4 linked regions of the Arabidopsis thaliana genome follow. The protein of the gene in region 4 interacts with the protein of the main gene of each other region in a pairwise test. Each region holds a gene or a part of one and is shown on either strand. Other genes may lie near its edges. The genes, in order: ATAF1, AT4G33905, AT4G18340 and ERD14.

What was found.
Region 1: the proteins of ERD14 (region 4) and ATAF1 interact in a two-hybrid assay, tested with the Arabidopsis thaliana proteins (one large-scale study listed by BioGRID).
Region 2: the proteins of ERD14 (region 4) and AT4G33905 interact in a two-hybrid assay, tested with the Arabidopsis thaliana proteins (one large-scale study listed by BioGRID).
Region 3: the proteins of ERD14 (region 4) and AT4G18340 interact in a two-hybrid assay, tested with the Arabidopsis thaliana proteins (one large-scale study listed by BioGRID).

The regions. Positions count from the first base shown.
Region 1 is NC_003070.9:263,861-271,605, forward strand, and holds ATAF1 (NAC (No Apical Meristem) domain transcriptional regulator superfamily protein), read left to right. Parts: upstream 1-4,132; 5' UTR 4,133-4,610; coding exon 4,611-4,770; intron 4,771-4,856; coding exon 4,857-5,134; intron 5,135-5,222; coding exon 5,223-5,654; 3' UTR 5,655-5,959; downstream 5,960-7,745. Other genes in the region: AT1G01710 (acyl-CoA thioesterase II), read left to right, coding at 1-74, 213-300, 420-532, 660-722, 797-852, 937-1,041, 1,161-1,217, 1,476-1,577 and 3 more; AT1G01715 (uncharacterized protein), read left to right, coding at 2,657-2,864, 3,433-3,644; AT1G01725 (adenylosuccinate synthetase), read right to left, coding at 6,156-6,230, 6,762-6,875; AT1G01730 (uncharacterized protein), read left to right, coding at 7,142-7,429, 7,519-7,573, 7,681-7,745.
Region 2 is NC_003075.7:16,250,848-16,258,624, forward strand, and holds AT4G33905 (Peroxisomal membrane 22 kDa (Mpv17/PMP22) family protein), read right to left. Parts: upstream 4,914-7,777; 5' UTR 4,746-4,913; coding exon 4,404-4,745; intron 4,078-4,403; coding exon 3,849-4,077; intron 3,584-3,848; coding exon 3,459-3,583; intron 3,308-3,458; coding exon 3,218-3,307; 3' UTR 2,905-3,217; downstream 1-2,904. Other genes in the region: AT4G33890 (transcriptional regulator of RNA polII, SAGA, subunit), read left to right, coding at 1-238; AT4G33900 (Galactose oxidase/kelch repeat superfamily protein), read right to left, coding at 725-1,864; AT4G33910 (2-oxoglutarate (2OG) and Fe(II)-dependent oxygenase superfamily protein), read right to left, coding at 6,096-6,182, 6,286-6,405, 6,492-6,557, 6,627-6,722, 6,858-6,960, 7,043-7,200, 7,431-7,553, 7,654-7,767.
Region 3 is NC_003075.7:10,127,864-10,135,775, reverse strand, and holds AT4G18340 (Glycosyl hydrolase superfamily protein), read left to right. Parts: upstream 1-3,583; 5' UTR 3,584-3,756; coding exon 3,757-3,829; intron 3,830-4,049; coding exon 4,050-4,386; intron 4,387-4,622; coding exon 4,623-5,331; coding exon of another isoform or gene 5,332-5,364; exon of another isoform or gene 5,365-5,456; coding exon 5,457-5,531; 3' UTR 5,532-5,726; downstream 5,727-7,912. Other genes in the region: AT4G18335 (uncharacterized protein), read right to left, coding at 6,413-6,907; AT4G18330 (Translation elongation factor EF1A/initiation factor IF2gamma family protein), read right to left, coding at 7,189-7,752, 7,836-7,912.
Region 4 is NC_003070.9:28,583,884-28,590,847, reverse strand, and holds ERD14 (Dehydrin family protein), read left to right. Parts: upstream 1-2,920; 5' UTR 2,921-3,190; coding exon 3,191-3,439; intron 3,440-3,526; coding exon 3,527-3,835; 3' UTR 3,836-4,185; downstream 4,186-6,964. Other genes in the region: AT1G76185 (NADH-ubiquinone oxidoreductase chain), read right to left, coding at 239-351; AT1G76170 (2-thiocytidine tRNA biosynthesis protein, TtcA), read left to right, coding at 4,623-4,660, 4,890-4,996, 5,108-5,250, 5,325-5,656, 5,754-5,846, 5,938-5,978, 6,133-6,199, 6,282-6,393 and 1 more. UniProt on the Arabidopsis thaliana protein: Intrinsically disordered protein acting as a chaperone. Prevents heat-induced aggregation and/or inactivation of various substrates. Binds to acidic phospholipid vesicles without affecting membrane fluidity.

The sequences.
Region 1 (7,745 bases), about 28 Mb from region 4:
ATATCTTCAGGGGGATCACACTACCTGATGCTCCTATATTTGGAAAGGTTTTTGGAGGACAATTTGTCGGACAGGTATCGCATTTTCTCTAGGAAGGTTACATTATTATGTCTCTGTAAACCTTGCTGATCTGATTCATGTGCATATATATATTGCTTGTTAACAGTGATAACCGTAACCACTACTAAGTCACTTTTACCAACATTTTACAGGCTCTTGCTGCGGCGTCAAAAACTGTTGATTTTCTCAAGGTCGTCCACAGTTTACACTCCTATTTTCTTCTCGTTGGAGATATTGACAGTATGTACATAATCTCACTGGGGCACTTTCTAGCCACCAATGATGCCTTTCTTCCCTATTGAAACCCACCCTGCTGTTGGATTCATCTGATTATCATAGTTTGTTGCTCTTGCTTGCAGTCCCCATTATTTATCAAGTTCACCGCATACGTGATGGGAACAACTTTGCCACCCGAAGAGTTGATGCAGTACAGAAAGGAAATATCATATTCATCTTGCTGGCATCATTTCAGGTTTCCCATTTTATTCTTTACAAGATAGCTTATGAATCTCTACGTCCACCTGCCACCAAGAGAGAATAGCCTTTCACAAAACTGGGAAAATTGTTTTCTTAAATTTTCTCTTTTATTACTTTCATAGAAAGAACAACAAGGATTTGAGCACCAGGAGTCAACCATGCCCTCTGTACCAGATCCTGATACGGTAAATCATTTCTCCAGATTTAAGGGTTCCAATAAATTGTTGTGTGTTTTATTTTTCACCATTATCTGCTACAGCTTCTATCACTGGAGGAGTTGCGTGAAAGCCGTATAACTGATCCTCATTTACCGAGGTAAGTGGTAGTGTTTTCCAATGTATGATAACTTATATCAAAAGCTCAAGTTGGACCAATCTTCCAATTGTTTCTTTCTTTCAGGAGTTATCGGAACAAAGTTGCAACTAGAAACTTTGTTCCATGGCCTATAGAGATTCGATTTTGTGAGCCCAGCAATTCAACAAATCAGACAAAGTCTCCTCCGAGGTTAACAACTCGCTGAAATAAATCAATTATATCATAGAGTACTCTTGAGTGTATACTCATAAATTCCATTAAGTATTTCTTAAAAAAAAAATCAAGAAACTCACAATGCCTTCTTGCAGATTGAACTATTGGTTTAGAGCAAAGGGAAGGCTTTCTGATGATCAAGCTTTGCACCGGTAAGTAACTCCATCTATGTATATCAAGGTAACCATCTAAAAATTGGTATTATTCATCTGGTAACAATCCTTTAAACTTTAAAGGCAAGAATGATTGTAGACAAGTGAATCAATGGTGTTTTAGTATCCCAAGTTGATAGGTTGAGACTTGTAAAAGGCCAAACTTTCTTAATAGCATTGAAAAACTGACGGTATATTGAAATTCAATTTATCATTCTTAGCAAACTAATCATTTGGCAAAGCCATGTTGATATGCAGATGTGTCGTTGCATTTGCCTCGGATTTAATATTTTGTGGTGTTGGTTTGAACCCTCACCGGAGAAAAGGGGTGAAATCCGCCGCACTTAGCCTGGACCATGCGTAGGTTTTTATTTTCTCTTGGTGATGTATGAGTTTTGTGTGTCTGGGTTAAATTTTTTAATTACATTGAGGCATTATTCCAGTAGGGATCTTCCAGATAAGTAACTATTACGAGTTACTATTCCTCATTTGGTTTGCAGGATGTGGTTTCACCGACCTCTAAGAGCCGACGAGTGGTTGCTCTATGTGGTAGTTTTTTCTATCCTTGTTTCTTATGAACATTTCAGATCAAATGTTTGTTCAGAATAAATGAAAATGATTTTTGGTATAGAGTTGTTTTATAAACTTGTTTGCTGTAAGAGGTTCACCCACTTACAACACAAAGGATGCTGCTTGCAGATTGTGAGTCCAACTGCGCATGAGACCCGTGGTTTTGTGACTGGTCAAATGTTCAACAGGAAAGGAGAGGTACTCTTTCTCTATTCTTTTGAACCCTATTATACATACATATCTGGAAATGATAAGTGATAAAAGAATTCCTTTTGGTATGTGTTTTTGAATATGAGAACAACAGCTGGTTGTATCATTAACGCAAGAGGCCCTATTAAGAGAGGCTAGACCTCCAAAACCCTCCGGCACGTCGAAGCTCTGAATGGCTCTCAACGTAAGTTAAATAAGATACATTATTACGAGTACAAGGCGACGAATAAAAAGATCAAAAACCAATCTGGGTGGGTACTAAATAAAAGATTTTATTAGACAAACTCATAATGTCAATGTAGCACGCTGTATGTACATTGTTTGATTCCGGCCTTCTCACCTCTATCATCATCTATCTATAAATTCTCTTGTTTTTTTTTTTTGTTTTAAAATTCTTTCTCACAAGAACACCTTTAGATCGATTCGTGGGCCAGAAAATTATGGGCCCAAGTATCAAATTAGTTTTCGTACGACCCATTTTGGATCCGCGGGGGTATCTTTGATGGAACCGGTACACCTGCTTAACCGGCCGGTTTATAGTTTTGTATCCATTTGTGATTTGCGGGTTTCTGTTGCCACCTCCCCACTCTCCTCGCTTTTGTTGGTCTTGGAAAAACCCTGGGATTTTGGGTATCTCTGAGCACGAATTCTACATTCTCATGGCTTTCGAACACAGAAATGAAGACCTAAATTCCTTGGATTCGGAAGAAGATCTGGAGAAAATGGAGTCAGAGGTGGAGCAAATGTCGCGCAAGGTTTCCGAGTACAGGAAAAGCCTACCGAGTAATCTGAGCAATTCTGTGATTTCTTCTCGTAGATCCAATTTTCCCAACATCGATTCTTTGGGCTTTCGCACAACTAGCACAGGTTCGTACGTTTCTTTGCTTATATTTAGTTAGATACCTTCCTTCTCCTTTGGTTTCAGCTGGAATTTTAGTCTCTTTTTCTTTCTAGATGATGTAATAATAGATTGATCCTCTACATTATTCGTGGATCATTCTTGTGAAGACCAAGTTGTTTAGCAGCAGCAGACTTGCCTTTTGATTGTGATGTCGTTTTTTGCATTTAGGTTTGTGTCATGCCATGCGTGTAGAATATTGTGATACTTGCTACTATACCCTCTGGATGATTATGTTCATGAGTTATTACGCTTAATTCTGAGGTGATGATACATATACAAGGCTTTTCCATTACAATAAATCATGTATTTTTGTGGCTTAGAATCGACAAGCATGAGACTATGTGATGATATGTTTAGCTAAGCTGAGAGAAAATGATTGTTTAGCCAATTTTTGTTTACAGATACCATGAGATAAGTGGCCACATTAGGTGACACTAAGATTTCATAGCATTGTAATATACACAAGTCTCTAGTGAACTGCTGTTGTGATAACCAACTCATCAGTTATTTTGTTCCTTGCAAGTTTGGAAGAACCTCTAGTGTCAAGAGATGGAGCACATATAGGTGGAATCGAACAAGAATCTCGAGATAGCCTGATTCAGCTCAAAGAAAGAGTGTACGAGAACATTGCCACAGTGCCTCTAGTTGTAGAGAGAATGCGAGAGAGTAAAGAGAGAATCGACAAGTCCATTTCTTTCAATGGAACTACTATGCACCCGGCTTTCACAAGGCGGAAAGCTAGCTAACTGATCAGTTTCTACTTCTCCCTATTGGCTTTACCACTCAAAGAAAGCTAATGCATAGGAGGAGATATGGCTGGTATTTCTTTCTACTATATTAGTATCAACCAACATCTCTCGCATTTAGAATAAGAGTATACCATAACCTCTGTTTTGATTGTGTTCTACATTGAAACAGGTCTTTCTCTGATTTTAATATGGACTCTTATAGAATCTTGGGCTGATTCTACACCCTGTATGTATATGTAAGAATCACATAATCAGATGGTTGCACAATTGTCAAGAACACCCAAATCCAAGCTTGCGATTTAGCAATCTCACCCGTGTAAGAAACTTAAAACCATAAAACCAATTGATATAAGAGCTTTTCTAGCAAAAACTTAAAAATATAATTAACACCGTCGAAAATGGTGGAGGCTACTAGAGCGAGATATAAACTTTATCACCGTTTAATCGTGTGGGATTTTGAAATGATATGAACCTATTGCAAAAAGACAAAAAAAAAATATAAACGGAGGAACTAGGCAGTGGGACCGGAGATCCACCGACCGGAAACGAAGAATCCATAGTAAGATAGAGCCCAGGGGTTCGGTCGTATCGGACCGGTCGGATTTGGATTCTAACGACAAGTGAGTGGACCCCCAGAAACGACAGACGTAAGCAATGACAACATCAAACTCATCGCCACGTCAGCAACGGAGTTCTACTTGCGAAACGTGTCCCGGCAGCGTCATCCACCCACGTGTGTTCTAGAAGCTCTTCTCCTCCTCCGTATCTCGACACGTGTCCACTCCCTCTCCTTATATAATTGACTTTTCTCTCATTCTTTCCAAGTTTCAAAAACGCCAAGTTTCAGAGGTAGAGAGAGAGATACTACAATTGATTAGGATAGGATCAGGATCATCCTCAACAACCTCCTCCTAATTCCTCCTCCATTCATAGTAACAATAATATTAAGAAAGAGGGTAAACTATGTCAGAATTATTACAGTTGCCTCCAGGTTTCCGATTTCACCCTACCGATGAAGAGCTTGTCATGCACTATCTCTGCCGCAAATGTGCCTCTCAGTCCATCGCCGTTCCGATCATCGCTGAGATCGATCTCTACAAATACGATCCATGGGAGCTTCCTGGTGACATACTAGCTCTCTTTCTCTTTAATCTTTGCCGGATTCTAAATCTGAGATTGTTCTCTGCTGACTCAAATTCAATTTTACAGGTTTAGCCTTGTATGGTGAGAAGGAATGGTACTTCTTCTCTCCCAGGGACAGAAAATATCCCAACGGTTCGCGTCCTAACCGGTCCGCTGGTTCTGGTTACTGGAAAGCTACCGGAGCTGATAAACCGATCGGACTACCTAAACCGGTCGGAATTAAGAAAGCTCTTGTTTTCTACGCCGGCAAAGCTCCAAAGGGAGAGAAAACCAATTGGATCATGCACGAGTACCGTCTCGCCGACGTTGACCGGTCCGTTCGCAAGAAGAAGAATAGTCTCAGGGTATGGAATCAGATCTGATTCACATCTTTGTTTCAATCTCTTGTTCTGTTTCTGGTAAATTGAATCAACGGTGTTGATTTTTGCCCAGCTGGATGATTGGGTTCTCTGCCGGATTTACAACAAAAAAGGAGCTACCGAGAGGCGGGGACCACCGCCTCCGGTTGTTTACGGCGACGAAATCATGGAGGAGAAGCCGAAGGTGACGGAGATGGTTATGCCTCCGCCGCCGCAACAGACAAGTGAGTTCGCGTATTTCGACACGTCGGATTCGGTGCCGAAGCTGCATACTACGGATTCGAGTTGCTCGGAGCAGGTGGTGTCGCCGGAGTTCACGAGCGAGGTTCAGAGCGAGCCCAAGTGGAAAGATTGGTCGGCCGTAAGTAATGACAATAACAATACCCTTGATTTTGGGTTTAATTACATTGATGCCACCGTGGATAACGCGTTTGGAGGAGGAGGGAGTAGTAATCAGATGTTTCCGCTACAGGATATGTTCATGTACATGCAGAAGCCTTACTAGAAGGGAATTCCTTTCCTGCCGCCGAAACGCAACGCAAAACGACCCTCGTTTTTGCGTTTATGGCAACACGAGACCGTTTTATATGGTCAATGAGTGTGCCGATTCGGCCATTAGATTTCTGTTCAGTCTTCGTTTATTCTATAGACCGTCCGATTTCAGATCATCCCTAATCGGACGGTGGTCGTTGGATGTATCAGTAGTGTATTACTGTGTTAGGTAGAAGAAAATCCACTTGTTCTTAAATTGGCATAAAAGTCAGAAGCTAATATTTATATGTGCCGCAATCAATTTAATATTTTCTGTCTACTTAGGAGTAATGGATACAAACTAGCGTATTGGTTCTATATTTATTTATCAGCTTTCACAGTTGATCTGACTTACATTTATTGTGAACATATCTAACAAGTGTAGAGGAGTAATGGATACAAGCTAGAGTACAGTGTGTTAGCAGAAACGCTATAAGATGAAGTCTGATGTTGAGCTACATGTTACTGTCCATTGTCACTTGTCGGACTTCTTTGATGGAAAGATGAACTCTTTCACGGAATCTTGCGCTGAAAGTATCCTCTGTCTGATCTGCATATGCAAAATGTCATAGATAATATAGAGTTAATTGGCTACAAAACCCCATCGAACCATAAGAAATTGATTTGGTGTTCAAGAGTAAATGAGTAATCAGTACTCTCAACATAGAGAGAGTAACAACAGACTAAAAACTCAGCAAAACAAAGTAGTCACTACTCATTCGTTGAAGATCCAGGCAAACGCAACAAAGCTGAGCATAGAAGTCAGGAACATTCATATCTCATTCAAAGTTTTCTAAGATCAAAATTCAACCCTAGCAACTAACAACTAATAAAGAGATCTAACCAATATCAATTGAAACCAAGTGATTGTAGGCTGTAGCAAATATCTGCGATTCGAAGCGATGATGATCGAGAAGGTTGACGGTTCGATTTATTAAACACAAACAAAAAAAAAAGAGAGAGAGAGAGAGAGAGAGAGAGAGAGAGAGAGAGAGAGAGAGAGAGAGAGAGAGAGAGAGAGAGAGAGAGAGAGAGAGAGAGAGAGAGAGAGAGAGAGAGAGAGAGAGAGAGAGAAACTCACAGGATCAAGAGCGTTGGGCTCTGGACCGTAATCAGCGGTTAAGAGGAAGTACGATACAACAGCAGTCGCCACCACACTGGTTACCTTCACCACCTTTTCAATTTGGGGATTCATCGATGTTTTCGTTCCCAGAAAGAACAATTCCGGTGATTTTGGTTTTTTTCAAGTGACACAATGATGATGTTATACGTTTTTTTATTGGTAAAACGACACACAATCCGATTTGTGTAAGAAAATTCATGCCGTTTTCGTTCACTTCAAATATGGGCCCAGAAAGGCCCAAACATCTCATCAAGTCCTCACGGCGTCGTTTTTAAGATCCCCGCTGCGTTGATTTATGGCGATCTCTTTCGGCGGTTGAAAACCTTTGAAAATTGAAAATGGAGAAATCGACCTCTCCGGCGACTCGAGTCACCGAACCTCCTCCTGCTGCTACTTCATCTCTTCCAGCACAAGCTCCTCCGCTTCCTACATCTGCAGATCAGAGATCAGCTGAGTTACCTTCGCCTGCTCAGCCAGCTCAGATGACTGCGCCTCCGTCGACAGTTACCACAGATCCGTCGTCCAGGGGAAGAAAGCGAGCGCTGGAAGCGAATCTTCAGATCGAGAGCTCCAACTACTACAAGATGCGTCTCCTTGTCAAAGATCTTCGCCCTCACGTTCTCGAGGTTGGACCATAATTGTGATAAAAACATTCAAACTCTTTGTTTGGGAAAGGGTTTATACATAACAACTTGGATTTTGTGGTGTGCTACAGGTTTTACGAACTCCAGACTTGAGGAACTCTAAGGCAGTTATCGAGATTCAAGAGAGTGAGAAGCTCTTACACTCTCTTCTTTTGTTATCTCAATTTTCACTTAGCTCAACAAAAGGCCCAACTTGTTTGATTCTGTGTCCCTTGAAATGATGATGTTTGCAGAGATGAAGCTTATGCTTCAACTGTACGAAGAGATGATTGGAGAGTCTCCCAAACGTGAGAAAACA
Region 2 (7,777 bases), on a different chromosome or scaffold from region 4:
TAGCGGATTGGATGTGTTTATGAGAAGGCTGATTGAGCCTTGTTTGAGTTTGGCTAATACTCGATGTGGGACTGATCGGGTTAGAGAGATGAATTACCAGTATACACAGCAAAGCAGAAGGCTTTCATATGTATCGATGTCAGATTTTCGTGCTGGTATGGAGTTGAATACTGAGATACTTGGAGAAGATTGGCCTATGCATATGGAGAAGATCTGCTCCCGTGCTTCAGATAAGTAAAGAACAAACATCATAGGTTAGATACATAGCATTTGAGTTTTCTGGTTTGGTTTGCGCTGTTGAAAAAAGTTACTGGGATGGTCCAAGTTTCAATGGAAGAAGGTTTTGAAGAGAAGAAGGGTGGGTCTTCTTGATGTTGTACAAGTTCAGATAATAGAGTGAGATTTAAGTAAGAGTTTTTTTTGAAGTAAACGACATTTTGTTTAGCTGATTTGTTTTTCTCTCATGTGTATTTTTCCTTGTTTGCTCTCTGATGTAAACAAAGTTAATAATGAAAGCAAAAAAGGCTTCTTGAAAAGATTCGTGTGAATATTTCATTTGTCTGGTCAAAGTCACTAAATATTACATTGGAATGTTAAAACCCAAACTGAAGTAAAAAGCTTAAAACAAAAAGCGCAAGACATAATCATACTATGAGACATGTCCAAATGCCTCGAAGACAAACGATCAACTTATTTAAAAAAATGCATGGGTGATTGATTCAATTCACCAAACTGTTGCAGTAAGAGCATTCACTAATAAATCCACATGACGGTTTGGTCCACTGGATATAAACACATTGTCAAACCACTCAAGCGTTCCCCAAATTTCTCCATTTTGGCGTTTTTGAATCGCAATTTCCGCACACCAAATCTTTGTTTCGTCATCAACTAACACATACTCCTCCCAAGAAATCGCCAATTTTCCACAATGATCCGCCGATTTAAAATTTCTATAATAATTAGTAAAAGTAGGCAGTCCTTCCAAACCCTTCAAAGCTGCCCATTCTCTTTTCTTGAGGTCATACCAACGTACATCCCCAAGACTGCAACGGTAGAACACGTTCTCTATCACACAACAAGATGATGGATCCAGACTCCATCCATGATTCAGGCATATGTCTGCCCCTCTCCATTTACCTTTATGCATCTTGTAAGTGACATCTTTTTCCCTAGACCCTACATAGACGGTTCTTTGATAACTTATGCTTAAGTACTCAGAGCCTTTGCATACCTCCTCGCTAGGGATCTGTAAAAACTCCCAAGTTTGAGTCTTCGTATCAAAAATCTCCATCCAATTCATTGAATTGAGATTTTCGCAGCCTCCCGTAACATATATTCTCCCATCGAGGGTACAAGCAGATGGAAACACACGGGCCACCCGCATGCTTGGAGCTTCACGCCATGTGTGAGAACGAGAGTCCATAACCATAACGCTAGACAAAGCGTTATAAGTCTTTGATCCAGTTGCATTTATCGAAGCGTTTTTATTCTCTGATCCACCGCCAATGGCATATATCTCATGACCGACCACTACAAAACCCGGCAGGGCTGCGGAAGTAAAATTGGGAGATGAAATCGGGACCAAAACTTTTTTGGAGCTATTTGGTCCCTGGTAGATAATGAACCAATGTAGTTGTTCAGAATCGGTATGGAGTCGTACGCACACGTAAAGACAACTCTCCGTTCCGCCTAAGAGGATTCGGGTTTGGTAAAGCTCCTTTGAAGCAAGAAGAAAGCGAAATTTTTTGGAGACTAATGAGAGAGTTGGATAATGTAATCTTGAGACGCGAGCTAAGCAGTTAAATACCAAATCATCAGGAAGCATTAGAAATCTTTTAATCGAGGGTTCTTCTCCATATTCCATGGTTGTTGATCACTTTTTTTCTCTTACGGTTGTTGATAGAGAGCGGAAGCTAAATATCGGACGAGAACACAAGATCTCTAGGAGAACTCGGATTTACAAACGGATCTTGCTTAGAACGTCAAAACTTGATGAAGAAGCAATAGAGATAAAGTCGAGATCGGTAGTGATATCGACTTGGTTTTGCAAGCCCTTAGGGTTGAGAGTCCTCCTCTCTAGGCTTTATAGAAAGCTCTCTTAAAACTCTTTATTCAATAATCCAAAACTAATCTATTCTACAACGTAAGGATTCTTTAAATAAGAATCAGAAACAAAGACCCTAATTCTAAAAAGAAGTTAAAAGCCAAACACGTAAAGCCCACATCTTTAATAAAGTCCATAAACTACTAAATCATGAATGAGAAACAATAAAGAGGCTTGGTCACGACGAGGCCCATCAAAGGCGTGAACAAAGCAAAGATGCGCTGCATCAGTTGCTTATTAAGTAAGAACTTGCTTTTTTTAACAAAACAAAAAAAAGTAAGAAATTGTTTTTTGCATAAGCTTCTTTTTGTCTCGACTATTCTTGTCTATATTGTTTATATATAGATTCCTAATCTCATTGGGAGTTTTTCAACGTGTTTGGAAGTATAGTAAGTTTCTAATTTTCTATAACAAAACGTATATTCTCTTCACTTGAAGAATTTACTGATATTCAAAAAAAGAACTAGAAGAATTTACTTTTTTTTTTTATCATTCCTTTTTACTAAATTGTTTTGTTTTGTTCTTTGTGTGCTCTTTCTTCTGGTACAGATATATATGCGGACCTACGTACAAGAAAGGACCCTAAATTTCTAAAATTTTACTTACTGTTATGAGAAAACAATACATTTGGCATATCAATTTTTTTTGTTACAAGCTGTCGCACTGCTACCTGCTACCCTACCAATCTGGGACGCGTATAAGATTGAGAACAAAAACCATATTTTAGCATACATAGCATTTGGTTTGACTCCGTTGGTCTCGTGTAAATTTTCCGTCTTTGTTAACCGTACTGATGTAACTAAGGATTAATATAAAAGACTTGTGTCAACAGTTTCCTTTGCCTGGTAAAGACTCAAAAAGTTGATCGAAGCTAAAGAACCACCATTTTACTCAAATATTACATGGAATACTAAACATAGAATTGAATTAAATCTAAGAGTGTAAGACATGTCCAAATGCACAGTTTTCCCCAAAACTCCTTACATTATATCCTCCTAAAATCTGGAGAGAGGAAACAAAGAATGTTGAAGAATGCCCTGTTTCTTTTAGTAAAAGTGTTTTTTGGCTTCATTTCTTCATTTCTAAACTGAGAGAGTTTCCCAGAGAGCTTTTTCAAATTTCAATGGCGGTTGGCGTCGCACGGCTTGCCATATAAGTTATGTAGATTGTCCATAGATACGAAAACGAGTTGCTCACAAGTGGCTGCAGACAAAAAGAAACCAGACTTCAGTTGATAACCAAAACTCACGATAAGACAAAATGAATGCAGCAAATATATGATCTGTCTTGAACAAAAGGTTAACCAAAGTGAAGCTAAGTTGGAAATAAAGTGGTAGGTATCAATCATACATACCTGTAAATAAACAGGGCAGAACTTGAAAGTAATAAAATCACACAAAGGCCAATACATGACACCATTAAGCATTGTGGGAAGTAGGTCCCTTTTCAATCTAGCAACTATCTCTGAACCATTTTCACCTGAAAAAATAATTGAAAATCAGACTTTGATGTCATCAAGAATAGCTTAGGATCAAATTCTAACAACAATTCTCCTCTCTTCAAACGCCATTTAGAGAAAGAATGTAACATCAAACAACCTGCTCTATAACAACCCTTAAGATTGAAGGTCAACAGGATCTAGAGTTTCAGAAAAATCATACTTTTATATGTTGCTCAAAGAAGAATATATAGACTATAAGAAAGGAACCAGTTGATTATTTTTCATGTACAGCTGAAAGCTTACCCTGTAGGGCTGCATTCAGTGAGAAGAAAACAACATTCATGGCAGGCCCATAGACTGTCTGTCCCATGGCCATTTTCTTAAACGTTGTGATCAAATCTCGTTTTGGGAAGAGACTTGACATGAGATTGAACCAATAGTGAAGTGTAGGACCCAAGATTAATAACCCATATCCTCCCATCCTTGCTGTTCTTACCAAGTCATAAGAATCCACTGAAGCTTGTGGAATTGTCTGTTGAAAGATCAAACAAGTCACACTTTTGTCAACAACAATACAAGAACAAAGAAACGTAAGCAAATATAACAACTCAATTCACATAAAACCCGCTACTACATCCACATTACTAAGAATCGATCATTACTTCTTAATCTAGAAGTAATTCTTGTCCTATCTCAAATCTCTAAAGCACAATGGAGATACAGTGACTTCTACTATTACCATTTGTTAGAAAACACAATGGAATCTTAGGACTGAATCAACAAGAACATAATCACAGAATATCTAAAATCTGATTTGTAGGCTTACAAAACAAAAATGAGATAGATTTTTGAAATTACCTGCGAAGACAAATCGGCTGCTATGTAAATAAGCGAGGACGTGACGGATTTGGTAAGAACCGGCCGAGATTTCACCATTCCCAAATACCATCCGATGAATCCTGCTGTAGAGACCGTCGAAGAAGACGAAGACGAAGACGAACAGAAACCAGAGACACCTGTTTCCTTTGCTTTCCCGAGAAACTGAGGCGTACGATAAAAAGGCCTCGACTGCAATCGCTGGATGTTTCCTCCTATCGGTAAAGGGTCGAGCTTTCCAAAAGGATTCGTCATCGTTGCTCGCTGTAATCGAAAGATCCGAGCGGCGTCGGAAGCAGCGTTTCTAAACAATGCGCCGGTCATTGTCGTGTGATGGCTCCGAGAGTTTTGGGGGTTCAGGGAAGGGTTTTATATATAACGGCGGTGGAGAAGAAGAAACAGAGCTCTGTTTTTTTAAAAAGTTTAAATGCCAATAAATAATGAAACACACAATTTGTATATTTCGCGAGTATAAAGGTTTTTCTACTCGCGTCTCGTACCATTGCAATCGTTCTTCATAAATTAGTTTTGTTCTTAATAAATTAATTAATCATGCCTTTTCTAGATACAGAATTGTCGAGATCTTTCCTAATAACCGAAGTTTTTGTGAAAGCTATAGTGTTACTTAGCACATTGATTATATATAAGCCAACAAATTGATTATTATTTATTATTAGCTAATCACTCAATAAACTCAAAAGCCAAGCCAAATTATTGGAGAAAATAACCTTTCCAATTTCTATGTTAGGCGGAGGAAAGAGTGCCTGAAGGCTGAAGAGCGCGTGACCGTCAAAGGTGGACGGTTCAAAAACCAAACATCCCCAAACTGTTTCTGTTCTGTAGTGTTCTAGGGTTGTTTACACGTCCTGTTCACATTGGTTAGTGTCGACGTCATCACTTCTGACACGTAAAACTTAATTCAGTGACGCTAACCTTTAGTAGAAGCCACGTGTTGCGTTCGTGTCCCAAGTTCCGACTTTTAGCCACTTTTTATGAACTCTTTTATTTTTATATATTTAGTCAAAAAGAACGTAGATCATTGGAAGAGAAGATTCTCTTATTTTCTGTCGGCAATTTTTCGAAGATTCTAAACCAAACTAAACGTAGATGATGTCACACACACAAAAAAAAACAAAAATTATTATCGGTATCACTCATGACTCATGTGTCCACAAAAACTCGAATAAAAAGATGGTCCCTGGTGTGTAAGCTCAGATACATTTTTTATATATATAACATGGACAAAATAATTTTCCATTTAATAGATACAAATACAATCATACAACACATTTTGTTAAGTTATAAGGGAAAAAATTAGTACACATTGCAAATTAACAAGAGACTTGACGGACTCAAACGAGCAGTAAATACTCAATACCAAGTAATCAGAACACCCAAATCGATCCACACTTGTCATCACTTCTGTGTTAATCTTATAAGTTCTTATATTTCTTTTACTGAAATATCAAACAACAAGAAACTTCTATTGTTCAAATGATATTTCGAACCAAGTTTTCATTATCAGGTTTTAATTTTTGTATCATTCGCATTATAAGAAAGCTAAATAGTTACACTGTTTCAGCGAAGAACTGTACACGAGGGATCCAGCAGCAGATTTTTAGTCAAAAGATAGAAGCTGTGAGACTGAGATAGATATATGGAAAAAAACCTAACTTATTCTTCCTGGTCTTGGTCTCTGATCCATTTGGTTGCCACCCATTTCTCTCCTTTGGTCACCGGGCAGCTCCCGTGAAGCGAAGTCTGCAGAAGCATTGGAACCACAGCAAAGAGCTCCTATTAGCATGAACTAATCCAAGGAATAGGAGTCAAGAGAAGAAATGAAATGTGTTCAAACTTTGTTTACCTGATCAATCGTTCCATTTGGAAACACGGAATAAAAAAGAAGACCATCTCCTTTCCGAGGCTTTACTTTCAACCCAATACATTGCTTGTAATCGTATCCGATGCCCATATTAGAACCGTTCTGTTAAATAGAAAGCGTTTAAATGGAATCAAAACTAACGAAAGGGTCTGTATAATAAGTAAGCAAATAATATATTATAAACTGACCTCAAATGGGAACATGGTTTCACCGCCTTCTTCAACATCAGATAAGTACAACAGGAAGGAGGCAATCTGCGTAAATTCAAATGAGGTCTCGGGTTCTAAAGAAAGCTATAAATATGACAGATTTAAGGATTTTACCCTTTGGCTTGATTGTGGTCCATATTCTGTTGGGTTGAAAACATCATAGTGGGAATCATACTTTTGGCCAAGTTCATACCGTAAAATATTGAATGACTGCCAAAAACATCAAATCTCGTACAATTAAAGGGGTGATAAGCACTAAACCAAAGGCCATCAAGCCTACGTTTGCCACTTTCAACATGCCTTAGTTTTACGATTCACATAGATTTGGGAAGTAGAGAATCATACCTCTCCATGGGACCTTGGGATCATCGTAGCTCTTGCGATTTTCCTTTCAACAAAATCCAGAGCACCAGTACTCTCTTCTGAAGCACTGATAAAAGTTCCTGAGCTGTATAACAACAACACACCAGGCAAAAACACTGAGGCTACTGATGAATGTTCGAAACATGAAACTAGAAAGAAAGAAAGACCTTGTTCTAGTGCCCTTAGTGTTCTCAGCAGTTTCTCCTTTCCGGAGAGCCAAAGCAGAAGGTTTCAGATTAACCTTTGCTCTCTCAATAATAGCTTGGCATTGTTCTGCAGTTGCAAAATTCGGAAAATATATAGCCCTAGGTCTCCAACTAAGTACCTGCCAATTTTAAACCAAATAATCCATAAAGATGAAGTACTAAATTTCACTAGTTGACTAATTGCTAAAAAACACAATACTCTCACTCACACTCATGGTCACCACACATGAACAAAAAAACAAAGTTCAATTAGATAATCAAATGCACAATCTTGCCCTAACTAATCGATTTCACCTAATTTGCCAATCCAAACATCTTAAAAGTCAAAAAATTAGCAACAAAATCAGACCTGAAAAGGAATCGATCCAATAGATTCTTCTCCAGTAACACCATGAGGCATCGAGCTAGCTTCTTCTTCCCCATTCTCAACCATATCCAACATTCTCAACCTGGGTTTAACACGAGGCACATTCTGATCCCAAACATAGAACCCTCGATTAGTCACAAAACCAAGCTAAAGACTCCAATCACATCTAAAGAGTACAGAGTAAAAGATCAGAGAGTTTCCACACCTGAGAAAGTAGAGTGGAGCCATAGAAACCGAAGAGGAAACAGAGAGAACAGAAGACGATAACTGTGGCTAACCCTAGCTTCTTCCTCCTGTAGCTCTTCAATCTGCTCTTCATCGAGCCTTCT
Region 3 (7,912 bases), on a different chromosome or scaffold from region 4:
CCAAATTTACATACTTTTTATAAAATATTTCGAAATTCTCATTTTCTTGTCGTTAACCAAAAAAGATGGAGTAAAAAGAGAAACATACACATAGATTTAAGGCCCTTTTTACGTATGCGCGTCATAAATGAAAAACACTTTGATTAGTATAAGAACATTTAAATTTTAACTACTATAAAGAAAAAAAAAGCACACGTAAAAGCTTTTAGCCATGCATGCACGATGTTTACTGGTTATCGAGAAAGCATTATCGTTGTTGGATAAGACATTAACTTTCCTCTCCTATATGATCATAAAGCTTGTTTTTCTTCTTCATAAATCTTGCCGCTTAATCCTTATCCATTATCCACCAAAAATTCAATTTTGTAGGCAGCTTTATGAAATAATGCTTTACACCATTTTGACTCGATTATAAGTATTATATATATCCACTATTCGAAATGGCCCACGATATCTGTATTTTAATATGACGTCAAATATCTTATTTTGTCTAATGAATCCAAACTAAGTACAGTATGTGAATCTTGGTAATATATGTATATAGAGTTCAGTTCAAATATAAAATACAAGTGTATGACGTCAAAAAGAATTTTTAGATACGTTATAGGCTCATTATTTAACTATATGTTCACTTTGGTGCAGCTTAGTATCTTTTATGCAGATATAATTTGAATTTTTGATCTGGTGAACTATATATTGTTAAGTAAAAAAAAAAACATGTCGGTCCAACCCAACCTAGACCTGTCAAGCATGTTTAATGATGGTTTGGCCTGATCCATTTGTTAAACAGTAGGTAAAATTTGCAATCTTTTTTTTTTTTTGTTTTTTTTTGATTTTGCAATCTTCTCCCTTATCTACACTGTTCTCTTTAAGAAACCCGCTATAACACTTCCCGAATCATTCATGCGGGAGAATTCAAAGGTACCTTAATATTACCACCTTCAAACCAATTCGCACATGGTCCAAGTTGGAAATGGTTAACCAATTTAGTTACCTATCACTATCAAATTCCCACAGTTGGGTGTGATGCATCATACATTTGCAAATGTCCAACATGGAAATCCGAATCAAGTAAACCCTATATATACTCTATTTTTCATGCGTTAAAAGGGTTAAACCCTTTCTTTGAAGAAACTTAACCTTTGTTCAAAAACATTGATATCGTTGAGTACTTGTGTTGCTTTAAAAAGCTTTCATGTCATTTTATTTGCATATTCGATATTGTAAATAAATTGCAGATTAAATGGCATATTCTTTCAATCCGAGCTAAAACAAAATCATTCTCTTTTTCTGTCTGCTGTTTCAAACTTGCTGGACAATTATATGATCTTTCTGATTTGGACATTAAAATATCCACAGATAACGTAAACTTGAAATATTCTGCAACCAAAAATATGTCCATTCAGTAAATAATTAACAAACTAGATCATATTCATGAAGAACTAAACCAGAATCATTAAATTTAAACATTAGAAATAAATTAAAACTTGTGTCATATACTCGATAATAAATCAAATTATCTTTAACTTTACACATATAGGCCTATATAAAACAATCTGTTCGGCCGTGTATGGTATATAGTTACGTCATTATCAAATTAATCTATATGGAACTGCCATAAGTCGACCGGTGGTCAATCCTAAGCCACGAAATCAAACTTTTAAACGACGAACTAAAAGTTTTCAGCCAACTATAAACAGGCCACTCTGAATAATTGACTGATTTTGACTCCTTTCCACATATTTAATTCCAACATCGAACGATTACATTTTTAATTGCAACAAGTTCAATAGCTTGAGACGGGTATATTTCTTATAAGTTGTATACATGTGTTCAAATAAAATGGCTCTTGGTGTCGTGAAAAAGAGAGAAGATTTAATATTATAGAATCGAAAAGAAGACACTAGGGTATTTTGGATTAGATCAATACAGCCAAAAGTTCCACTTTAAATTAATGTAATTTTCTGGCTAGCCAACCTTTCGAGAAAACGAATTGACTATCGTCTACGTGATCAAGTTTAACCCTTTATATTTTACCATTTAAAAATATAGTAAGTAGAAATTAATTGATTAACAAATCAATAGCCAACCAAGCGAAAGCACTTACTATTTCTTAAATAAGTTTTGTTGGGGTTTATTATGTCAGGTGATTAAAAAACAACCGATGGTTGAAATTGACCGACGGCTCCAAGTGTGTGACACTGCCCCGCCAACTTGTCTAATTCCCCTCGAAAGCATATTAGCAACATTATCCCAATTGACCATTTTATTTTACTTTTGTTATGCTAATGCTTTTAGTTATTTGTCAATTTATACATTATCATATTTGTCTTGTTTTATTTTACAAGTGCCTCAAAATTAAGCATGATCCTTTTGTCTAAAGGAAAGTAAGTATATCCCTTCTCTATCATCTTAATCCGAATAACAATATATTTGAGATTTTTTCTTGACAATTAATGGCAAATTATATTACGACTTATATATCTTTCACGAATACAATTTTGGATATCCCGTTCTTGATAACTTTCGAGGACTTGTATGAATTTCCGTCCAAAAGCCTCGGATTACAAAAAGAAAATAAATATGTGATATATGTTTATTTGTATGTATTATATTTCCCGGGAGATTTGAAAATATTAAACTTTAAAGGAGAAACGGAGGAGGCTTCCTCAGTGTACTATTGAATCCTTTGACACGTCAAGTCAAATCGGATCTCCAATTAGCTTTTGTCTAAAGAAATATAGTAAGGTTTGTTTGTCATATTAATTAGGCTAGGATACACTTGCGGTCAAGATTCATGCGAAAATGTAATCATTATTCTTCGAATTTGAATTAGCATTAAATTAATCATAATTAACACGTGATTAGTAAAATCAATGATTCAGATAAATTAGATAATAATATTAATAGTAGTAAAAGTTAATAAGAAAAATAAAGACCATTTTTGTGGGACTAATAACCCATTATAAAATTTCTTTTGTCATGAAGTTTTAGCTGAAAATTTGATATTTTACCTTTCATGATTATTCTACAAGACATGATTATCTATTAAAATTTCATTGTGTTAATATTAATTTTTATACCACGTCTTTTTCTCCATGATTATCGTAGAATAAACTTTTGGTGTATAGTACAAGTTTGTTTTAAGTCACGACTCACCTACTTAATTGAAACGAATATTTTAATATTTTCCGGTGCTTTATGAAACTTCTTCAATATTCTATACACGTCCACTTATGTGTATCCCAATCTCTTCTTAATTTAATAACATTGCTCACTTTTTTTACCAACCCAACAGTTAACACCACTTGTATAGTACATGTAATTAAACGAAACACACAAACAACGTATTTCCTTCCATACATGTGCATGCAAATTGTCTTGTCATAGAGTCTGCATTAATCTAGCTATATGATAAATAACTACATACAAATATTTTAAAACCTAATAATTTTCTTTAATAAGAAATCCTTCGTTGTGGTTTATAGAAAGCCGTCAGTGGATAAAAAAGGCATAAATGAGAAAAGCAATATAGGGAGGCAAAGCTAAACAATTTAAAAACACTTTTTTTAAAAAACATAAACTTCAACACTAAACCTTTTCACAACAAAAAACACGGAAAAAAAACAAACAAGCGAAGAAAAGTATTCTTCACCTTGGTTGGCTTATTGTGTATGTCTATAAATATTCCATTAAACACTTCTCTTAAAACCCAAAACCTTCACAATCTCTTTCCCTCCCTCTCTCTTCCTCAACATGACATCAAGAACATTCACAAGACATTCCAGTCTCATTCATGTTTTTCTCCTGCTTTCTCTCGTTTTCTCAGGTTATTTTCTTTTTCATTCTGAAATTTTAAAACCAAATTCTTAACACTTAAGTTATGCTTTACGTTGCCGCCTTAAAACCTCAACGTGTAAGATTTTAACATAGTGAAATAACGGATCGATAATAAGTCTAGAATTCATTTTTTCAATGTTTGTTTAATGGAATATTAAAGATTTTTGGCATTGTTTTCTAAAAGTTCGATTCTTTGTTTGGAAATATAGGGAATATACTACAAACAGTAACGTCTCTTGGCATCAATTACGGACAAGTTGGGAACAATTTGCCTTCACCGGATAAAGTCATTAACCTCTTGAGATCTTTAAGGATCACAAAAACAAGAATTTACGACACTAACCCTCAAATCCTTAGTGCCTTTGCAAATTCAAACATCGAGATCATCGTCACCATCGAAAATCAGGTTTTACCATTACTACAAGATCCTCAACAAGCTACCCAATGGGTAGATTCTCACATTAAACCCTATGTTCCGGCCACTAGGATTACCGGAATTATGGTCGGAAACGAGCTTTTCACCGACGACGACTCTAGTTTAATAGGGTAAGTACTAATCGTTGAATATTAGTCTAATTTGTTACATGATCACAGAATTAGTTTTTTTTCATTAACTGATTTCACATTTTCTTGACTACCACTTGGTCAAATGTAACGAACTCCTTCGAAAAAAATATTATATTTATTAAACTCCACTTTGAATTTCAATAAGAAATGAGTGTAATAGTTTTTGTCCAATAATTGCTAATTTTGACTATATTCTCTCCTCTTTTTGGTAATAGATACATGATGCCGGCGATAATCAACATCCACAAAGCCTTGGTCCAATTAGGTTTAGATAGATACATTCAAGTCTCGTCTCCAAGCTCTCTTGCCGTCCTCGGTGAATCTTATCCTCCATCTGCCGGAAGTTTCAAGCCGGAGGTTTCCTCCGTGATGCAACAACTTCTAGATTTCTTGGAAGCCACGAAATCTCCTTTTTGGATAAATGCTTACCCTTACTTTGCCTACAAAGATAACCCACAAGAAATCCCAGTCGATTACGTTCTATTCAACCGTAACATCGGCATGACCGATCCCAACACAAGACTACACTACGACAACATGATGTATGCTCAAGTTGACGCAGTTGCTTTCGCGGCTGCGAAACTAGGGTACCGTAACATAGAAGTTAGGGTTGCGGAAACAGGGTGGCCTTCAAAAGGAGATGTCGGAGAGATTGGAGCGTCTCCTGTGAATGCTGCCACGTATAACCGGAATCTTATGATGAGGCAATTCGCCGGAGAAGGAACTCCAGCGAGACGGAATGCAAGACTCGATGTTTATATATTTGCGTTGTTCAATGAAGATATGAAACCAGGTCCTACTTCGGAGAAAAACTACGGTATATTCCAACCAGATGGATCATTAGCTTACAATTTGGGATTCTCTACAATGTCGACAACGACGGCAAATTCAGAATCTGTCACTTATTCATCCTCTGCCACTAAGGTACGATTAGTATTATGTGGTGAATTTTGTTAGAATTTGGAATTATTGGGGCCACGACGAGAATAAGTTTGTGAAAGGACTAGATGTGCAAAATGAATTAATTCTCTGTTTTCTTCTTCTTTCAGGCAAAGAGGAGCTTGGAGTATTGGACAATTTTGATATTGGCGATGGTTCAAGTTGTAATGTTGAGACTATTTTAGAGGAAAAGTTATTGACAATATAATAACGCGATTGTTTAGGATATTTATGTAAACAATTTAATTATAAGCTTGATAAATATAATTTATATTCAATTCAACATTCAAATGAAGTCGGTCAATAGTGAAAATTCTAAATTTATTGTTGTCGTTAACAAGTAATTGACATATATAATAAAGAAACAAAGTTTACTTTTTAAGAAAAACTTGTCGTATATGAAAAGGTTTGAGTAAGTAGTAACTTTGACCAAAAGGCATATAATCGATAACCAGTAGCGGTTTAGAATCAACCATATATTTTTTTCCCTCTAATTCAAGAAATATGGCATAGCTTAATTCATTTGTATATGTTGTTGGATATTTTAAATACAATCCCTAGCTAGTTATATAATATAGATATTAGAATGCAAACATATGCATTGGAGTGGACGGTACGAAGAATTGGAACTGAAGCTAAGAAAAAAAAGCCATGAAACAAGAGCTTATGCTCACGATGCAAATTCACATGCTCATTTCCAATTATATCGGCTCAATATACTCCCTTGTTCTTGCCACAAACGATGCGTTTTGACCTTGAAAACATAGACACATATGCTTTTTTCTCTCCATATATTATTTTACCGATCAGTCAAGTTTAGTTTTATAGAATAAAATAATTCAGCTGCACGTAAGGAAAAATAAGTACTTTCTGAAAAATCAAAGGACACGAACAATCAAACATTAGTATGCAAATTATTTTCATACACTTGACCGTCAAAAATGCACTGATCAATGCACCGGTCATTCCGAACAAAAAAGAAAAAAAAATCTTTAAAAGATGAAAAATACAAAAGTGCGACGAGAGGAACAAAATCGTTTCACGTACGACGTATCGGCAACGATATCTAGGGTTGTGTAGAAAGATCGCAAAAGAGAGTAGTAGCGGAATTAGGGTTCTGGTTATGGCATGGAGATGAACCGGAAGGAGGTACGAATCCTTTGGGAAGCATAACCGAGAAAGTATCCTGTCGAACCGGACGGTTTAAACCGTTATTCTTCTTGGCCATCATCTTGAAGTAGCCAGCACGATGATGAAGACCACGGCGATGACGAAGAGTATGTCGATAGTAGTAGTAGTATTGGTGATTGTAACGACGACGACGGTGGTTGTCTCGTTGCAACCGCTGGTTCAAGATAAACGGTGTCGTTTTCTTGATGTAGACGAGTTGGTGCGGTGATTCGTAACCGTTGAGATAAGCTTCCGTTTTTTGTGTTGATGATACTCTTGTTTCTTGATTCGAAGATGATGATGATGGTGAGATGAGGAAGACGAGAGTGAGAATAAGAGAGACGATGAAGCTTTTTAGAAGACTCTGTTTCATCAAAACCAAATCTTCCATTGGGATTGAAAGAGAGTATAGGGTTTTGGCTGAGAGTAAGAGAGAGCGTAAAGATGAAACAAAAGCTCAGAACGAGGAGGGAATTAGAATTATATAATTCCTAATTAGTGATAAGTAATATCATTAATGAAATTATGAATTTGTTTTTTAAATTTTCGTCAATGTTGTGTTAAATATGAATATAGTTTTATATTGTAGTCGAAAGAAAGTGATTAAACATACAAAGGCACATGTTAATTATTTTTGAATGCAAACAATATAAAAAACTCATCACTACTTCATTAGAAAGGAGGAGGAGGAACATCGATGGTGGTTCCAGCCATAATCTGACCCTTACCAATTAGACGCCAATGCCTATCGACACGTCGGCTTAAAGCAACCTTCTCTCCTATGGTGGTACACACCGGAGACGTCAGTTGGAGTTTCACCATATCTTTCTTGACTCCAATAACCTTAGCTCCCGTAGACATAGACCCGATGTTCACCATCAATATCTCTTCTTTGGTTAGCTTTGACACTTTCATTTGCTTCTCTTTTTCCTTTGTCCTCACTCCAATGAGACGAGTCAGAAGCTGGTAACTTACTTCAAGCTCAACAAAGACGTCAGGGAGAGTACCCATTTCACCAAGGACTTGACCAACCAACCTATCAGCACGCGTAAGCGTAGGGTCCATGGTTGTTCCAACTCCGATTAGACCTCCCGGTACAGCAAACTGAAGCTCGTTCTGTTCCGCGTATAGTGAAGTTATACGCGAGTAAATTGGAGTGCATTTTGAGTTTCCATGCTCATCTTTGCCAGTGATACCAGGTCTAATTTCAATCAGTTGGTTCACTTTCAAAACACCCAAACAAAGAGAGACACATATTAATACTAAATTGTTTCACAGTCAGGTAAGAACAGAGGAGAAACAGAGAGATAAAAACATACCTGGAGGATACTTCCACCAGCAACACCACCTTTCATTTCATGACCCGCCGAGCCAGGTTTATTGACATCGAAAGAAC
Region 4 (6,964 bases):
TGAAAAGTGTATGTCAAATTGTCAAAGATGGTTCAACGTGGACAAGTCAAAATTATAGTTCCTTGTGTAGGATTCACATAGATATCCAATGTTCAACGACAATCCCTTAAAAGATGAGAAATTTACGGTTCCAATTGAATTAAATATCACAAAGTACAATTTTTCAAATACAACTCTAAGCACGCAGCTCCAAATCACAGCAGATTAAAAAGGAAAGGATAAGCCGGAGATCTCTAACCTGGAGGAAGAGAAATTGGAGGTGGAAGAGAAGAAAGAAACGGAGGCCCAATCATGCTTTGATCTAATCTGATATTCCCTGAGCTGTTCTGCTAGATTCGATCTTGTTATCATCGCTTCTTCTCCACCAAGTCCCGATCACAGTCCCGATTCGACGAAGAGCTCAAGAAGCGTTTGAGAATCACGAGATGTAGGAAAAATCTATCACCAACATATAACTAGAATCTAGAAATCCAAAACAATGGAAAAACAAAATCTGTGAATTGGAAAATTTCGCATCAAAATTTTACAGCGACGAAACGGTGTCCGATTCGTTAGGAATTCGGCGAACGTTGCGTGGACTCTCTCGGTGTCAACAACCGGGTCGGGTTATAGATCCGATCTGGATTCTTAAGCCCATTTTATGGGTATTGGGCTTTTACCGTTACTCTTTTGTTTTGAGTTGTCATCATATATGAAAACTTTGTTCCGATGCCATGAAATTTGGGCTTTTAAGAATCATGAAAACTTTGTTCTAACAGAAATAGAAACATCAAAGAAAAAGAAATAAAACAGCGATGCATCGATTGATTCTCATGTCCCACCAAGTAAAGCGAGTGCTAAATATTGTTGAATATTCCTGATTTGACCACAATAAGGAAAATATCACGCCCATAAAACTCAGACGGGCGGTGAAAAAGAAGAAATCGACAGAAGAACAAACGCATGACGTTCATTACTTAGCACTAATCTGAAACTTTCGAATTATAGTATTTGATCCATATGTATTCTACGTTTTTCAGAAAACTTTGTTCAGATATCTCAAACTTTCGAATTAATTAATATTATTTTAAAATCTATAGTTTAGTTGTGAATTCTAAGTGTCGGCTACAATTTGTCGGTTCGCTATCACCGAAAACATTATCCAAAGAATAAGTTAAGAGCTGAGCTTCGGTGTATATGACAACAAGAACCAAAAAGACGAATAAGTTAGTATTGAAAAAGATAGGTTTGTTTGATATGTGTGTTGATACGTCACGGTTCGTGCTACGTCTTTGTTAAATTTAGAGACCAGAGATTACTGATGTGGCACGTCGGTTCATTTTTTTTATTTTAGGCGAATTTTAAGAGATGATGCATTTACCGATTACCATCTGTCCTTCATTAATATTTTTAGTATATCTTTTTCAATAGGTCGAAAATGACATCCCACACATTAACATATTAATTCATAAGAAATCCAAGTCATCTTATGCTCATTTGTCTACTCATGATTTCATTATCTACATCTAAGTTTATCTTTAAAAACTGCATGAAAACATAACCATTTACGTTGAAAAAATACATACACAAACCCTTTTCCCATAAACGAGATTACGAAAGATTGTTTTATGTGCCCCAAAAATGGTAAACAAAAGATGATGCTAACTTTCTATTCGTTCTAAAATCTAAATCTTTAGTTTTAGTTTGTTTATGTCCACGATCATTTCTTTGATAATACTTTTGGCGGATTCACAAGCGCAAATTACCCGTCTTATTGTAGCATTAGGACTAAAAATGAGATCCGGTAGCATTGCAACAACACCTTCCTAATCGATTGAGCCAATCGGACTTATATTACTTGTTGGATTTGTTTTTTTTTTTGTTTAGAGTATCCAAGATCATGTATTTACAATTTCAAAGATCATGCGTTACTAGATTGGCCTCTTCAACATGTTTAGTGAATAATAAGTTAAAATAACACCTAATCGTTGAGGATTCATAGCGTGATAAGAATTAAATAACCAAGTTCTTATTGGTTTGTTTGTATTTTGTAACGCATAGAATAGAAGAAAGAAAAAATAAGGAACGTTATAAATTTCTAAAAAATCATCATTTCTTCTCGAACAAGCTTGTTCCAGCGTGGCACTAGTCAATAAGTCAAGTGGACCCACGTAACCGACATCACGTCTTTTACGCCAATCAGTACATACTATTGGGTCCTACAAAAGGACAACTTCCCATGTTATATTGACACGTTTTAAGATGTAATTGATTAATCTAAATTTCTCTCTGACTCTTTTCTTTGTCTACATCCGACGTTCCATTTCTGACTATGAGCTCCGTCGTCCGATTTGCGCTAATGCTTGACACGTGTCTTCCAATCTATGGTGCATTAAATTGTTAATCCTTTCAAAATCTGTAATCCATTTTTGGAATTTGCAAGATGGTTCCTATATTTGTGAATATATATATATATATAAGAAAGCCCGAAACTTTAAGAACAATAATTTATAGGGACATCCCATTCTTTAAAATCTCTTTTGCGTTGTCAAAAATAAATTATTTTTGCTTTCAGAGGAAATGAAAAAACATTTTTGCTTATTCCATATTATTCTTACTCTATTTAAAGTTTGAATCAGTTTTCTTTAACTTGATAAACCGATCATTGAACTACAAAGTCCACATAACAAGTATTAAAACAAACAAAAAAACTTATGAAAGTCTAATATTTAAATTAAAAACAGTACACGCCTTGAACAAACCATTTAGTTTGTTTTCACTACTTTTGAAAAAAAACTATCTAGTTGCCATTCTTATCCATTATTTTTTATTCCACTAAATTGATATCAGATCACGTAAGCAAACTATTAACAATTAATTAATGAATTCTTCTTAATCCAATATAACTTTATCTAATTAACAGAAAAATGATAATTAACGTGGGGACGAAGGAGAAGATGCCATAAAAAGCGGGTCATTTTGTAATTTCATATAATTAGATATATGTTTTTAAATTGCAAAAAAAAAGTGTACAAAGAGCGTGAAATCCGCGGTGGCTTGGACCCCTCCCGAGTCCTCAACACTATATAACACACTTTCTTCTCTAATCTCCATCACCTCTTATTTTCATCTGCTTTTGAATTTCAAACCTTCACATAAAAAAAATACTTTTGAATCCGTGTTTCATTCATCGAATCTTTTTCCGATAACTATGGCTGAGGAAATCAAGAATGTTCCTGAACAGGAGGTGCCAAAGGTAGCAACAGAGGAATCATCGGCAGAGGTTACAGATCGTGGATTGTTCGATTTCTTGGGAAAGAAGAAAGACGAAACAAAACCAGAGGAGACTCCGATCGCTTCAGAGTTTGAGCAGAAGGTTCATATTTCAGAGCCGGAGCCAGAGGTTAAACACGAAAGTCTTCTTGAAAAGCTTCACCGAAGCGACAGTTCTTCTAGCTCCGTAAGTTTAGATCTGATCTGTTGATGATAAACTATAACATGATCGAATGCTTTTCTTATCTAACTATATGGGTCTGAATTTATACAGTCAAGTGAGGAAGAAGGTTCAGATGGTGAGAAGAGGAAGAAGAAGAAGGAGAAGAAGAAGCCAACTACTGAAGTTGAGGTAAAGGAGGAAGAGAAGAAAGGGTTTATGGAGAAGTTGAAAGAGAAGCTTCCTGGACACAAGAAACCTGAAGACGGTTCAGCCGTCGCTGCGGCACCGGTGGTTGTTCCTCCTCCTGTGGAAGAAGCGCATCCAGTGGAGAAGAAAGGGATTCTTGAGAAGATTAAGGAGAAGCTTCCAGGATACCACCCTAAGACCACCGTAGAGGAGGAGAAGAAAGATAAAGAATAAGAAGATTATCATTAAAGATATTAAGAATAATGATGGTTGATTTGCTTTGTTTTTTTTTTTTTTTATTGTGATGATTGATCATCTTTTGCTTTTGTGATGTGTAAGTTTGTTGGCTTTTTTGTTGATTACAATTTCTTATTTTCTCTTGTATATGGTTTTTAAAAACAAAAGATCTCAAGGTATTTTAATGGTATGAATATTTTCATTTGATTAAGTGATATGGATGATATAATTTTATGTATTGATAATCTTCAACTATTGCTCAAAGCCGTAAACATGACCCCAGTTTGATTAGCATTCAAGTTCGTATGTAGGAAATTAAATGCGTTGGTATAGAAGAAACATGATCGTGTATACTCTTCTTTTTAGTGATTGATTTGGCATTGCGGTCGACACAACTACTCAAAACGTGTAAGAAAATGGACCAACTTAGATATTTTTGTAGACCAGTTGACGTAACGTTTCCCTAATATGCTAGTTATGATAAGATCACATATTCACATGAGATCCAGCTAATCACAAAACATTTCCATTAATGGACCACATCCTTAGTTAATAATGTCTTTAACGCTCATCATTGTGGGTATATCTAATTATCTATAATCTTGTATGTGGGATTTTAATGTTGGGTAAGAAAGCCCAATGGGCCCATTAATAACTAAAACAATTCAGATACCGAAATCAAATACGACGGTGTTCTGTGGATATAACTCCGAGTTAGGTCGTTTTTCCGGTTAGGACAATTTACCGCCGACTAGTAAACTTGGAGTTTCATTCACCGGTGGAGATGGAGGCAGGGGAAGAGAAGAGCAAGAAAGCAGGAGGGTCTCGTCTCTGCTGCATCTGTAACCAGTGACGACCTGTCCTAAAACGACCGAAAACCCTTCAACAGGTAAATTTTGAATTAGGATCAAAATCATCGAGCTGGGTCTTTGGTTGCGTTACTCTTGTGGCATTTTCGGAACTGTTAAAGATCATAGTTTCTCAATCTCCTGCTAGTTAGTTTGTTACGTATAAGCAATAATGATGTGAGTATTTGTATAAAGATATGCAGAGAGTGTTTCTATGAGGTTTTTGAGGAAGAGATTCACCAAGTCATTGTTGGGAATCGTTTGTTTAAGTTCGGTGAACGAGTTGCTATAGGTGCCTCCGGTGGAAAAGGTAATTTCTTTACACTCCAATGATGGTTTCGCTTCAAAGTTCAAATTTTTACGAATCACTCTGTTTTAGTTTGATGTTTGCGCCATAACTCAAAAGTTTGTGCTGGTGCAGATTCTTCAGTGCTGGCATATGTGTTATCAGAACTAAACAGACGTCACAGTTACGGACTCGATCTTTTTCTTTTGTCTATTGATGAAGGGATAACGGGTTATCGTGATGATTCTCTCGAGACTGTTAAAAGGAACGAAGTTCAAGTAAGCTTTTGAATTTATGTGTTATGTGTTCACTCTAAAATTTTGTGATGATTTGTCATTCTTTGTTTTCCCAGTATGGATTGCCTCTTCAGATTGTTTCATACAAAGATCTGTATGGATGGACAATGGACGAGATTGTGAAGATGATCGGTTTGAAGAACAATTGCACCTTCTGTGGTGTATTCCGTCGACAGGTGAGGAGCAAGTTTCTTCATAGCATTCCCTCTTTGAGTAAGTTTCTTCAGAACCGTCTTTTCTGTTTTATGATTCTATGTCTGGTTGAATTTTTGAAGGCACTTGATCGAGGAGCTGCGTTATTGAAAGTAGATAAGCTAGTCACTGGACATAATGCAGATGATATAGCCGAAACAGTTGTCTTAAACATACTGCGAGGCGATATTGCTAGGTAAATATATACGTTTCTAGTGATGTTTTTCCTTGAATCTTGGCTATAATATGTCTCATGTCCCTTAATTGATTGATTTGTAATTTGGCTATTGTAGATTGAGTAGGTGCACATCAATCACTACAGGCGAAGATGGTCCAATTCCAAGATGTAAACCTTTCAAATATACATACGAGAAGGAGATTGTCATATATCCTTTGCTATTAAATCTTTTGTTTTGCTTCCCGAAACAACTTTAACTGTCAACAGAAGATATTCGTTAGACCTTAACATAGTTACACGTATGCTTATTTCAAGAAGCTGGACTACTTCTCCACTGAATGTAAGTTGTGCATTTTCAAAGTTTTGTTGCTTCTGTTCGTTTTTATCACTTAAAGAGAGCTCTAGCTAACTAGCTTTTTATTATAAGTCCACTACGAGCTGAATGCATAATTTGGTCATTTATGTTGGAGTTGAATCATTTATTCTGATTGCAGGCATATACTCCCCTAATGCTTATCGTGGATTCGCCTGTGAGTTCATCAATGACTTGGAAAGACTAAGGTACTTGTTCAACTGTTGCCGTATATATTCACCACAACCAAATAAGCAAGTAATTCTCCAATTTATATTATATAAACTACAGGCCAAGGGCTATTCTGGATATCATCAAGTCAGGTGAAGACTTCAGAATTGCCACAACCACGAAAATGCCTGAGCAAGGGACTTGTGAGCGATGTGGGTATATTTCTAGCCAGGTGAGACTTCTCTCTTTATCACATCAAGTCATGTTATAGATATGAACTAACAAAGAGTAAAAAGATGTGCACTGTAGTAAATATAATGAATGATCTTATACGATGATGCAGAAATGGTGCAAAGCTTGTGTTTTGTTGGAAGGATTGAACCGTGGTCTGCCTAAGATGGGCATTGGAAGACCAAGAGGAAACGTAAATGGTGATTATAAGGACATAAAGGCTAGATCTACTGCAAAAACTATAGAGAGCAAACAATGTGGATCTCTGGATTTCTAAATTAAGAGAAAAACCAAAGCTATGAGACTGCAATGGATGCTGTGATAGTTGCCAAACTGTTTTTGTATAGAAAGCTGTTAAACTTAAAAACCCATTGTTGTAAAACTTATCCTAGTAGAAGAATTATGGGTTTCCCTTTATGGCACAGAGGTTTTTGCAGCTGGTTCTCTGGCTTAGTGGTGGTCCTGGTTAGTGATGTTTGAACCTGCAGTATTACACCATCAATGACCTCAACCACTAGCTGATCAACCTAACTCATTTCAAGTCAACCTGGTTTTCATGAGTAATAATAGAC